3 linked regions of the Xenopus tropicalis genome follow. The protein of the gene in region 3 purifies or fractionates together with the protein of the main gene of each other region. This does not show direct contact. Links are inferred from orthologs where the notes say so. Each region holds a gene or a part of one and is shown on either strand. Other genes may lie near its edges.

Evidence for each region.
Region 1: the proteins of nrp1 (region 3) and kdr purify together in Homo sapiens (affinity purification with western blotting; 7 studies listed by BioGRID and IntAct, with this or other methods). This does not show direct contact. The link is inferred for Xenopus tropicalis from reciprocal best matches to the Homo sapiens genes NRP1 and KDR.
Region 2: the proteins of nrp1 (region 3) and plxna1 purify together in Homo sapiens (affinity purification with western blotting; 4 studies listed by BioGRID). This does not show direct contact. The link is inferred for Xenopus tropicalis from reciprocal best matches to the Homo sapiens genes NRP1 and PLXNA1.

Annotation. Positions count from the first base shown.
Region 1 is NC_030677.2:40,295,284-40,298,938, reverse strand, and holds part of kdr (vascular endothelial growth factor receptor 2), read left to right. Parts: intron 1-598; coding exon 599-798; intron 799-1,114; coding exon 1,115-1,239; intron 1,240-1,651; coding exon 1,652-1,820; intron 1,821-2,186; coding exon 2,187-2,326; intron 2,327-2,447; coding exon 2,448-2,616; intron 2,617-3,655. UniProt on the Homo sapiens protein: Tyrosine-protein kinase that acts as a cell-surface receptor for VEGFA, VEGFC and VEGFD. Plays an essential role in the regulation of angiogenesis, vascular development, vascular permeability, and embryonic hematopoiesis.
Region 2 is NC_030680.2:134,127,184-134,130,838, forward strand, and holds part of plxna1 (plexin-A1), read right to left. Parts: intron 3,216-3,655; coding exon 3,048-3,215; intron 2,374-3,047; coding exon 2,280-2,373; intron 1,596-2,279; coding exon 1,356-1,595; intron 1,218-1,355; coding exon 1,074-1,217; intron 322-1,073; coding exon 87-321; intron 1-86. UniProt on the Homo sapiens protein: Coreceptor for SEMA3A, SEMA3C, SEMA3F and SEMA6D. Necessary for signaling by class 3 semaphorins and subsequent remodeling of the cytoskeleton. Plays a role in axon guidance, invasive growth and cell migration.
Region 3 is NC_030682.2:22,722,516-22,726,170, reverse strand, and holds part of nrp1 (neuropilin-1 precursor), read right to left. Parts: intron 2,803-3,655; coding exon 2,628-2,802; intron 1-2,627. UniProt on the Homo sapiens protein: Cell-surface receptor involved in the development of the cardiovascular system, in angiogenesis, in the formation of certain neuronal circuits and in organogenesis outside the nervous system. Mediates the chemorepulsant activity of semaphorins.

The DNA.
Region 1 (3,655 bases), on a different chromosome or scaffold from region 3:
TGAGACAAAAATTATTTTTGTGTTAAAAATTTGGACATATACAATATTTAATATTTCCTGATGAAAGAAAATATAATTCTAAATAATTTTCCAATCTCCACCACTCCATTTCCCGGAAGATCCACAAGATTCTTTTAATCAGCTGGCTTTTGCTACATTGTTTCAGTAGTCAAACCAGCAGGACAGATACCTGCAAGGGAGACACAAATCCTGCTTTCAATACTAGTTATATTTACAAATAACTTTAAAGCCACTGAATATTTTTAATGAATGTCATTTGGAAACTTGCTTAGAATTACACTGCTATGTCCTGCTGTGACTCCCAGACTGGTTCCTACCTATGGGCACATTAAGTGTGTGTTCCATGCCATGCCCTTTTTGTGCAAGTACAGGTATGCAAGAGTTAACTCCATTCTTCTCCATGGGGGCTGTACCAAGAAGAGCACCCTGCAATGCCATTATCTTTACCAACAACATTACAAAGCAAGCATACCCTTGCAAGAACAAAATGACTATTTGCATTTGTTAACATAAATTATTTTTTACTTGACAAGTTCAAGTTGGAAAAGCTTTAAAGGTAACACATTTGTTCTTGTAGGGGACAGAGACCTGTGAATTGGTCGTGGCCAATAAACCACAGCAACAGTATTAATAATCGCTTATCTGTCAGTGAGTGCAATGAAAGTTCCTACTGTCTGACGCTCACACTTACCAAGGTTGTAGCCAATGACAGCGGGATTTACAAGTGCTACTACGAAGACAGTAATGCTACAGCCAGTGTTCGTGTCTTTATTCGGGGTAAGTGTCTGCTTATTATACTGCATCTTTACTCGATATAAAGCCACATTTTTTGGATACTGTAACAAAACATGCACTGTGTTTATTGCAAAGTTTACCTTTTGGGAACATTTCCCCAACTAGTCCCTATTGCCAACTATTTTCTCAGCAATTGTCTCCTGATAAAACTGGCCACAGTGTGTTTGTGTGAATGAGAAAAGGGCTTAGATTGTAAGCTCCACTGGGGAAGGGAATGATGTAAAATCACTTAATATAATAATAATGCTAATAATTCATGAAAAGTTATGTCTAAGTAAGTATTTTTTTTGTTTTTCAGATGAAAGGTCTCCCTTTGTGCCTTCAATAAGTGAACAACTTCTTGCTGTTTATATCACAGAGAATAAAACAGTGACAGTACCATGCTTGGCCTCTAAACCTGATCTGAATGTCACACTGTGTGCGGTAAGAAAGAGGAAAGCTTGGGGGTTTGGTCTGAAACTGGTTCCAGTCCTGCTTAGGTATTAGGTTAGTGTCAGTCTGTGTTGTAAATAGGCCAAGACTGATAATCAGAATAGGCTCTGGCATTTCAAGTACACAGAGGCCCAAACGGCCCCCACCAGTCCAATAAATAGTGACTTTGTATGGCATCTTACAGCATCCCCTCTGGCATTTGCCATAATCCATGTCTGGTTGTAAATGTATTTGCTGTGTATGTGCAGGTTTAGGATAGTTGCAGGACACTGTGCCATACCTATCATTTGTCTAGCCACTGGCACCCCCCACCAGTGCGACTGTATTGGCCTGCTGTAGATCTGCACTGTAAATCTAAAGTGCTTTGTACATTCTGATTTGTTATGCTGTGATTTTTTTTCAGAAATATCCAGATTCCACATTTCATCCTAATGGTAACAGCATACACTGGGATCACAAAAAGGGATTCACCATTTTAAGTGAATTATTAAAGACTGTGAGCTGGGTCTCCTGTGAAACCAAGCTCAATGGAGAGGTCTATAGATCACCTTCTTATTTTGTATTAGTTGTAGGTAAGAAGATTTTTTATTAACGTATTTGCACTATTACAACAGTGTGCCATACTTTTATGAGTATGAGTTGTACCAGTTTAGTAGTGGGGATTGTCTTAGTTTTGTATAATGTTGTATTTAAAATATGTAATGAAAAGGCTTTTAATGGCATTTGTTTATAGTTCAATGATACAGGGCCTTATTTACGGAGAGATGCGTAGTACACAATTTTGTAATTGCTGCTATGTGCAAGGAATGCTGCAATATGGATGCAGTTCATCTCCCATTTGTAAAGTTGCATGCATTTCATAATGGGCATCAACACGGGCCCTTAATATGCACAACTATAGCTTATTATGTACCTGCAATATTCTCTTTTTGCTTCAGGTTTTAAGATATACAGCCTGTCCATGAATCCCCATCCTCAGGTTCAGCTGGCGGTTGGAGAGAAACTAGCTTTAACGTGCACTGCTCATACTCCCCTAAATGTGAGGGTTGACTTTAAATGGGACTATCCTGCAATAATGGTAAGTGCAATGTTCCTGAAAATGCCATCTTCTTACTTATTTCTCACTCAATTTTTGCATGAGGTTTTACATTTTGACTTTAATGAAATAATATTAAGTCAAACTTAAACTCTTATTCTAGGAGAAAAGTGCAGAGACCAAAGGGCTCAAAAAAGAACTTCATGGGGGACTGGAACTTTCAGGGATCTTTATTATCGACTCTGTTACATTGAAAGACAGAGGCAACTACAGCTGCACAGCATACACTGGCCTCATGTCAAAGACCAGCAGTACAACTGTGATTGTACATGGTAAGGTTTTTCCAATAGTCTTCATATTATATTTGGCATTCCTCTTGCAGTCTCTTGGACGCACTTATTATAGCCAGTTGGGGCTGGCCACATATTTCCTGAAGCCCCAGTGAATGCCCTGCAGCTCTGTGTGTCAGATACAGAGCAATATGACTACACATGTACATAGCTAAATTGCACAGGTTTGAGGCCACGCACATAGAGAATTTATAATATTGTTAAATTTGTTAAGTAGGGCATGGTATAGCAAATGATTAGCTGTGTGATATCAGCTTATATCACAGGGGGGCGTAGAATTACAATTTGAAACGGGCCCCAGTGGTCCAGTTGTGTGATGGACTTGATGTACTACATTGACTTTAATTAGAAAGGAAAAGAGGAGTGTTTATATAGCTCTTCTTCTGTGGCATTTGTGGGTTTTCATGCTTTAAAGAAATCAAGGTAGACAGCAAAGGTGCACTATGCATATTGGGATACCAGGACATAACCATTATGGAATAAACTGAATAAAAATGTTTATCGCATTACAATTTAATATGAAATATGAATGAAACATTTGTGCAGATCTTATAATATTAGTGTCTAGGTTTGTAGGTCATAGATGGGCCGGGCTGCATAAAAAGGCATACAGTATATCTCAAGCCAGTATTATAAATATCAAAATAGAAATGGGTTTTCATGCTTTAAAGAAATCAAGGTAGACAGCAAAGGTGCACTATGCATATTGGGATACCAGGACATAACCATTATGGAATAAACTGAATAAAAATGTTTATCGCATTACAATTTAATATGAAATATGAATGAAACATTTGTGCAGATCTTATAATATTAGTGTCTAGGTTTGTAGGTCATAGATGGGCCGGGCTGCATAAAAAGGCATACAGTATATCTCAAGCCAGTATTATAAATATCAAAATAGAAATGTATGCCCTACTGACATTTAGGGACAATAGACTCTACAGGGAAGGCTACAGTCTTTTGATGTGGAGGAAGTTGATGGACCTATATTCGGTATATCAAAAGCATCATCAGGGTT
Region 2 (3,655 bases), on a different chromosome or scaffold from region 3:
ATGTTTGGGGCAGAAAGATTAAGACATATTTTGAACCCTATTTGCCCTACTAATTTAACAATAGTAGGTGCCAGGGTCCAACCTACCTTCTTTGCACTCCAGTGCCACACGGGACTCCAGATTGTCCATTTGCAGCTGCAACCGTTTCAGGGTACGGTCAGCATCCCGCGATTTCCTCTTGTAGGCAATAAGCACAATGATTATAATGAGCAAGAGCAAACCACCTCCTCCTCCAATTCCAATGATGGCAGGCAAGGTCAGCAGGCTGTCCGAGTAAATCTGCAGTGTGCCCGGTGAGTACTCAAACCCTCCGGCTTTAATCTGAGACATAAGGGATGAGTGCCTGGTTAGGGTATATGCCACAGATACACACAAGATACATGTAAACTGGGTAAGTACTTGGGGTCAGCAACCTAAGACCCTCCCTGGCTAAACTAGGTTTATCCAAATGTTTGACCTTAGGGCCAATATCTGAATCATGACGCTTTCGTGGATGGGCAGAGTCTGCACCAATCAGCCAATCAATACTCTTCTTCTGAGTGCCCCTATCCAATACAATAAGCTCCAGCTAGGAACAAGGTACTATGGGTAGGACTAGGACAAACACTGTTTGCCTGCCTGGGATGGACAAATAGCCTATGTAGTATCATAGCTAGTGTCATGGAAAGGTTTACAGTGATAAGTTGCACCAAACTATATCAACATGGAGTCTTTTCTTCTTTGATATCTGATATTAAGCCCTGGCTTAATTGGTCAACATCTGCGCAAACAGCAACTGTAGAAGACCCTACAGGGCACATATAGAGTCTTTCATACAGAGTTTATGATGCTTTTGTGGTACAGTTGTGTTATAAATACAACTAAATTTACAGGCATGAAGGACAGAAAGGTTGATGTTTCTGCAGACAGGAATGTGTAGACATAGTTCCTTTTTCAGTTATTCCTATTTCTGTATGGCATTTTTAAACAATGTAGAATTTATTGCACATATATCAAAACTGCTCCCCCTATGCCTTTAAGAACATTATTATAATGACAAACAGTGATATATAGGCAGTCTATGCCACACTTACAGTGACTTTGTGCTGTCCAGTAAGGTTCGGAGACTCGCACAGGAGCTGGGTCTCAGAGACAGTAAGGGCACACGGTGTGTCACCAATCAACACTGTATAATTAAGCCTGAAGTTCCCTGGGGCTGCTGGAATGAGATTCCGACCCTACAAAGAAGAGAGAGAAACACTAAGCGGCTTTGATTTATACCTTCAGTACAGATCAAGGTGTAGCTTGGGAGTAGCAAGGCTAGTAGAAATCCATGCCCTGGTTCCTTCATTAATATATAAAAAGCTCCTGCTAACCTTGATTATAAGAGGAGAGCTAGGCTTCAGCTCAAGGTTTCCAGATGCCGTCAGTGGCTCAAACACAGGATCTGGGTAATACAGAAAGCTGGTAGTGTTCACAATAAGGAGGGCCAGAACGTTGTCCATTATGAAACCTATCTCATCAGGACGGTCCCCATTCTCTGGCGGGCTCCTCAAGGGATTCTCAACGGAGGGAGCCAAGCACACCATGGTGGTGTCATTGTACACAGTGCAGTTCTAGAAAGGAAGACATGATGGCATGAGTGTCACTGAAGAATAAGCAAACAAAAACCTCCAAGTTCATTAATTATAATGAATAATCGCCAGTCTTAGGCAGATATCTCTGGTTAAACTAGTTTCTGTGTGGGCAGGGTAGCAAGAAAGGCTTGCCGCAATACAATAAAAAGCCAGTGTGATTGGTACATAGCAGTGCTGGCAGGGTCCCCATTACTTTCCTACTCTTGCACAGAAGCAGCTCCTGACTTGCTATTGTAAGGCTGATGAAATGCACAGCAGACTGGGTGTTTATATGAGATTAAAGGATGCTGCCCACTGCCAGTTAAGAGCAAGACACAGCTTCACGTAGGAATGAAGCCAAAGTTTTGCCATCTCACTGTGCAGAAAGTAGTTTCCTTAAGTTGTGAGCTTGGTTGTAACTAGGAGTGTACACTAATGTTCACTAAGAACCCTTTTACATAACTGCCATATTTACAATAAGGCCAGTTAGGGTCAACATACTATACCCCCTTGAACTGTAAAATAAATGGGTATACATTGAACATACAGATTATATACAAAATGGCCACTGATAAACTGGCACTAGATGGAAAAAGGACCCTGCCAAAAGATCTCACAACCAATGCCATGTTTCAACCAATCACCAAGAGCAGCAGAACCAACTTAACTTGCTCTGATACTCACATTTTCTCTCTCTGCATCTCCATATTTTGCTCTTATTTTGGGTTCTTTAATAGTTGCCAGATTCAGCCCAGTTACTATGAGAGGGGTTCCCCCGCTAAAAAAAGAACAAGAACAGGGATGGTTAGTCAGATTAAACAGATATATCCACTGGCCTTTCGGTATTATCAGCACAATATGGTCCAACAGTATTAACATCTGCCCTGCAGGCCGAAAGGGCCAGTCACACCTCCCATTAATTACTTTCATACCTCCAAATATATGAAAGTGATTAAAACAGTATGCACAACTTAGTTCTGGCCAGCTAGTAATACCTATTAGTACCAGGGGCAGACATGTAGCCTGTATGAATTTAAGGGCAAACGGTTGAACAGTTCATACAAATACATTTTGTTTTGTTTGGTTGATTTAAACTGCCCTAACACTGGCCAATAAAAGCTGCCTATTCAGCCCCTTCAGACCTATCCAATAGCTTATTGGCTTACATATTGGGGCATCCTGAATTATGATTGCATCATTTGCCCAGGGATCAAAGACTGGATCAACATTCTTTCATCCTTTTGGCCAGAGAATATTTATTAAATGGGCACTAATATACTATATTTTGCAATCAGAACACTTTACCATTCCCAGTATACACGTAATTTAGGAGAAAGCTAAGGAAGCAAAGGAAGAAGCAGGAAAGGCAAAACAAAGAAAGGACAAAATGAGGCCTACACATCTGCAGTTGCATCACTTAACAAGAAGCATCAGGATTAGGATGGTTTTTACCTGGCGATGCTCCACTCTGGTTCTATCTTTTGCACGGTTGGATCTTCGGTGTAATTGTAATGCACTTCAGAGTTGTACAGTGTGGCGCGGTTGATGTGGATTTGTATTTCGGCTTTACCCGTGCTTGGTCCCTGCGGAGTCTTACAGCGGATCTCTTTCGCAGTACGCCTGCCAGAAAAGAAAAAAAATATATATGAAATTCAAATCAGACTGCTTAGGATTTCTTACACTTTGTAGAAATAGAAAAAAAAAACATTAACATTTCACTGACCGACCAAGCGTGGAAAAAAACATGCGCTGAATGATTGGAGACAAGCTCTGGAACCAGTAAGCAACCATTACTATGACTGGGCTAACACATTACGCAGGGTTTACAGAGAATGGGCAATCTTATCAGTCCCTGCCTCACTGGAGCTTACACTCTAATTTTCCTATTGCAGAACCACACACTTCACTCTCATCAGAAGACGATTATGTTTTGATCTGCGGGAAGAAAATCCATAGGCAGCACCCTGCTTAGAAACAAAGCCAGAAACCCAATGAGGCTGCAATGCTAACTAGTGCCACTAGAGGCAGACATGAAAAATAATGTTACCTGGTAGCAACCA
Region 3 (3,655 bases):
TCCAGAGACCCCCTCAGCATGCTGGGATTCGTAGTTTTGAAACAGCTGGGTTGAAGGACTATGGTTATCCTGTTCATTGAGCAGAATCAAACTGCATAGCTGCTAATTATATTGAATGCATAAGGCAGGGCAGCCCAGAAATCAGTGTAGGCTGCAGCATGCATCCATTTCTAGTAAGCCATACAAAATATGGGTCGGATGTGTGCAGTTTTAAAGGGGTAAATTGGCAGTTGCTAATGGCACTAGCTGCTGGCACAGAACAGATAAAAACACATCTTTCAGAATCAATCCCTAAATTACAAGCAATTATAAACAAAAGGTAAGTAGATTAAAGCTCCGTAATTCTAGGTTCTGGCTGCCGACCCAGAAAAGCAAACAGCAGAACCAGATTACAGACGTCTGGGAATTATATTTGGGGAGGGGCAGTAGGGGGGGGGCTTATATGACCCCTTTTTGTTCACTTCCATTCCTTTTATGTCAAGTTATACTAAACCCAAATGAGTAAGTCTATAATCTCCTGCCCAATAGAGCACTTCCAGGAAAGAAAACATTAGGGGCTAATTAGAAGTTAAGCAGCGGCTCGCCTGGAATTTCCCCACCCAGTACCGACCCACTAGTATGACTCCCTGCCTTGCAATCTATTCGCTGGGTTCTGTCAAATCTGTTTATTGACGCACAACCACTCAGCTACCATTCCCAGTAGTCCCGGCTAGCAGAGGATGCTGGGAGCTGAGATTCACAGCAGATGATGGAACATCCCTAAAGGGCAACTCCACCCCAAAACTCAAAAAATATTCAATTCTTTTAACGTTAGTTGTGATTGTAGTTGCAATTGAAATCTGTAGCAGAAGCCAGCTGATTAACAGACCCAGGGGACAGACCTGCCTTACATTGTTTCAAATGAGAACAGGAAGGGTTAAAGGAACCCAGCTTTCAATAGCAATTGTATTTACACATGACTTTAAATCCATTGCATTGTGTAATGAATATATCATGGAAAATTACTAAGAATTATATTTTCTGTCATTGGGCAACATTTCATTTTTGGATTAAAGGTTGCCTCTAAAATGTAATTTGGAATGTTTAGACTAAACACAATTCATCTGGCACAGAAGGAGTTAAGGTTGAACCGTACAAGTCAGCAAGAGCCCTATCCCCTTGGGAATACCAAGGAAAGCCATTAGCACCAAAGAAATTCCAAAAATCCCACAGGATACCCACAGCAATTGCCTGGAAGTGAAAGGAATGGCCACAAAACCCCATGAAGATAAACAATATATATATATATATATATCATGCCTGTTATAAAGGTCTAGCACTTGGGCATCCTCTCCCCCCCCCCCCACTGTTCTTGGACTACAACTCCCAGCATGCCACCTTGGTTGCAGTTTAAGTTAAAGAAGCAACCAACTGCAAGCTGCTATAGAACAGCACCATGATACTATACAGCCATTTGATAATGGGAGCACTATGGATCACCTGATGCACAACAGTACCATGTTCCCAGCCAGTGAGTTGGCACAAAGGCTAACATTCCAAAACCAGAAGCCACAAGAAATTCCATCTGTATATTGTAACCTGGAATTTCCTGGGAAATCCCTCCCACCAAAAGGTACAACAATTCCACCAGTAGATCAGATTTATTGTTCTGAACATATATGTATAAATGGCCAATATATATCACAGCACTGTACATTAGCCCGGTGTATTCAGCACACAGATTTCATACATAAAAAGAACTGAAAAGCGACTCAGTAGGTAAATGGAGCTTTCAGTCTAATTTGGCAGCGCAGAAATGGACTCAGTCTCTGGATAGGGCTCAGCGCTAGGATTTGGGGGGAAGAAATGGGAACAGGCCAATAAATGAGATGAAAACCAGGCCAGGCCCTGTTAACAACATCATTAACACAGGTTAGTGTGAGCCCAGCGAACGTTTAGATTTAGTATAAGTGCCTTCAGCAAATGATCTGATATACACCCCGATCCCCAAATGAGGAGAAGTCTGCCAGTGACCCCCCCCACACACATACACACATACATACAGACACACACACACATACACACACACATATACACACAAACACATTGACACACACACACGTACATACAGACACACACACACATACAGACACACACATATACACACAAACACACACACATTGACACAGACACACACACATACAGACACACACACATAGACACACACACATATACACACAAACACATAGACACACACACATACACATATACGCACTAACATACAGACACACACACACACACACACATACAGACACACACACACACACACATACATACAGACACACACATACACACACACACATATACGCACTAACATACAGACACACACACACACACACACACATATACAGACACACACACACACACACACACACACATACACACACACACACACATATACACACAAACACATAGACACACACACACATATACAGACAGATACAGACACACACACATATATACAGACACACACACACATACATACGCACACACTCACTGGCAACGCTCCGCGGAAGCAGAAAACGCTTGCAGTTGCCGACACTTGGCCAGTAGATGGCGCCCCTGATTTATAAAAATCTGCGACTTACTTGCACTCCCGGTCTTCCAAGTCAAAGTGAGGGTTGAAGTTGATCATGATCCGCTGATACTGTTCCGGGGCCTGAATTAACCATTCGCATCTCTGGGATGGCAGATATGAATGAGGGTACCCAGTAGAAGTAAGGTAGCTGGGATTCGTGATCTTTATTGTATCTCCACATTTGTCTGCATTTAAGTACAAAAAAAGGGACACATGAGAGATGGCATTTTGATAAATGTAATATCTGTTTGCATAACCATTTCATGTACTGCTATATATATATAGACATAGAATAACCACAGCAAGCCTTCATGCTCACTAAGACTCTGTCAGCCGAAACGTTGATATTGAATAGACATTATTTATTAAGTAGCTACATTTATATCTATATATCACACACACATATACTTTCATGTGGGCACAGGGCTGTTCTGAAACCAGTGCAGTCACACTTGTTATTCTGTACTTGTCTTTTAGAGGGAAAGTTAATAGGGTATATTTAAATGTCAGTGATAAAATAACAGCGTTGAAGGGAGCTCGTTTCTGAGTGTAATTGGAACCTGTGATCTAAATGAACCAGCTCTCCGACTTAATAAGGATTCCATCTCCCAAAGAAAGAAAAGAGCCCAGCTCCAGACACATTAAACCCACAGAGTGAATGCAAAACGTGTGCTCTGGGCTCTACAGGCAGTCTCAAATTATTGCTGAGCAGTGTAATCTTATTAAGTAACACGTTTTAAGTGGCTTTAGACTAAACCATGCAGCTTGCCCCCCTGCAAAGTCTTGGAATGATAAGACATTCAGAGGTCGGGGCAGGAGGGTTTGTTTCAGACCCATCTTTTGTTTCATTGCCCCATAAATCTCAGCAATGTGGACTTGTATGTTCACTGACTAGACGTGATTTAAGCACAATTTGGTGAGGCAGAAAAAAAAGTTACAGGACAGATTGTGTTTTCTCTGCTTGTCTCTGAGCTGAGCGGATCAAAGGAACAGGGAGCGGAACGGCTCAGGGCTCGGCCGAGCACCCAGGGATCAGTT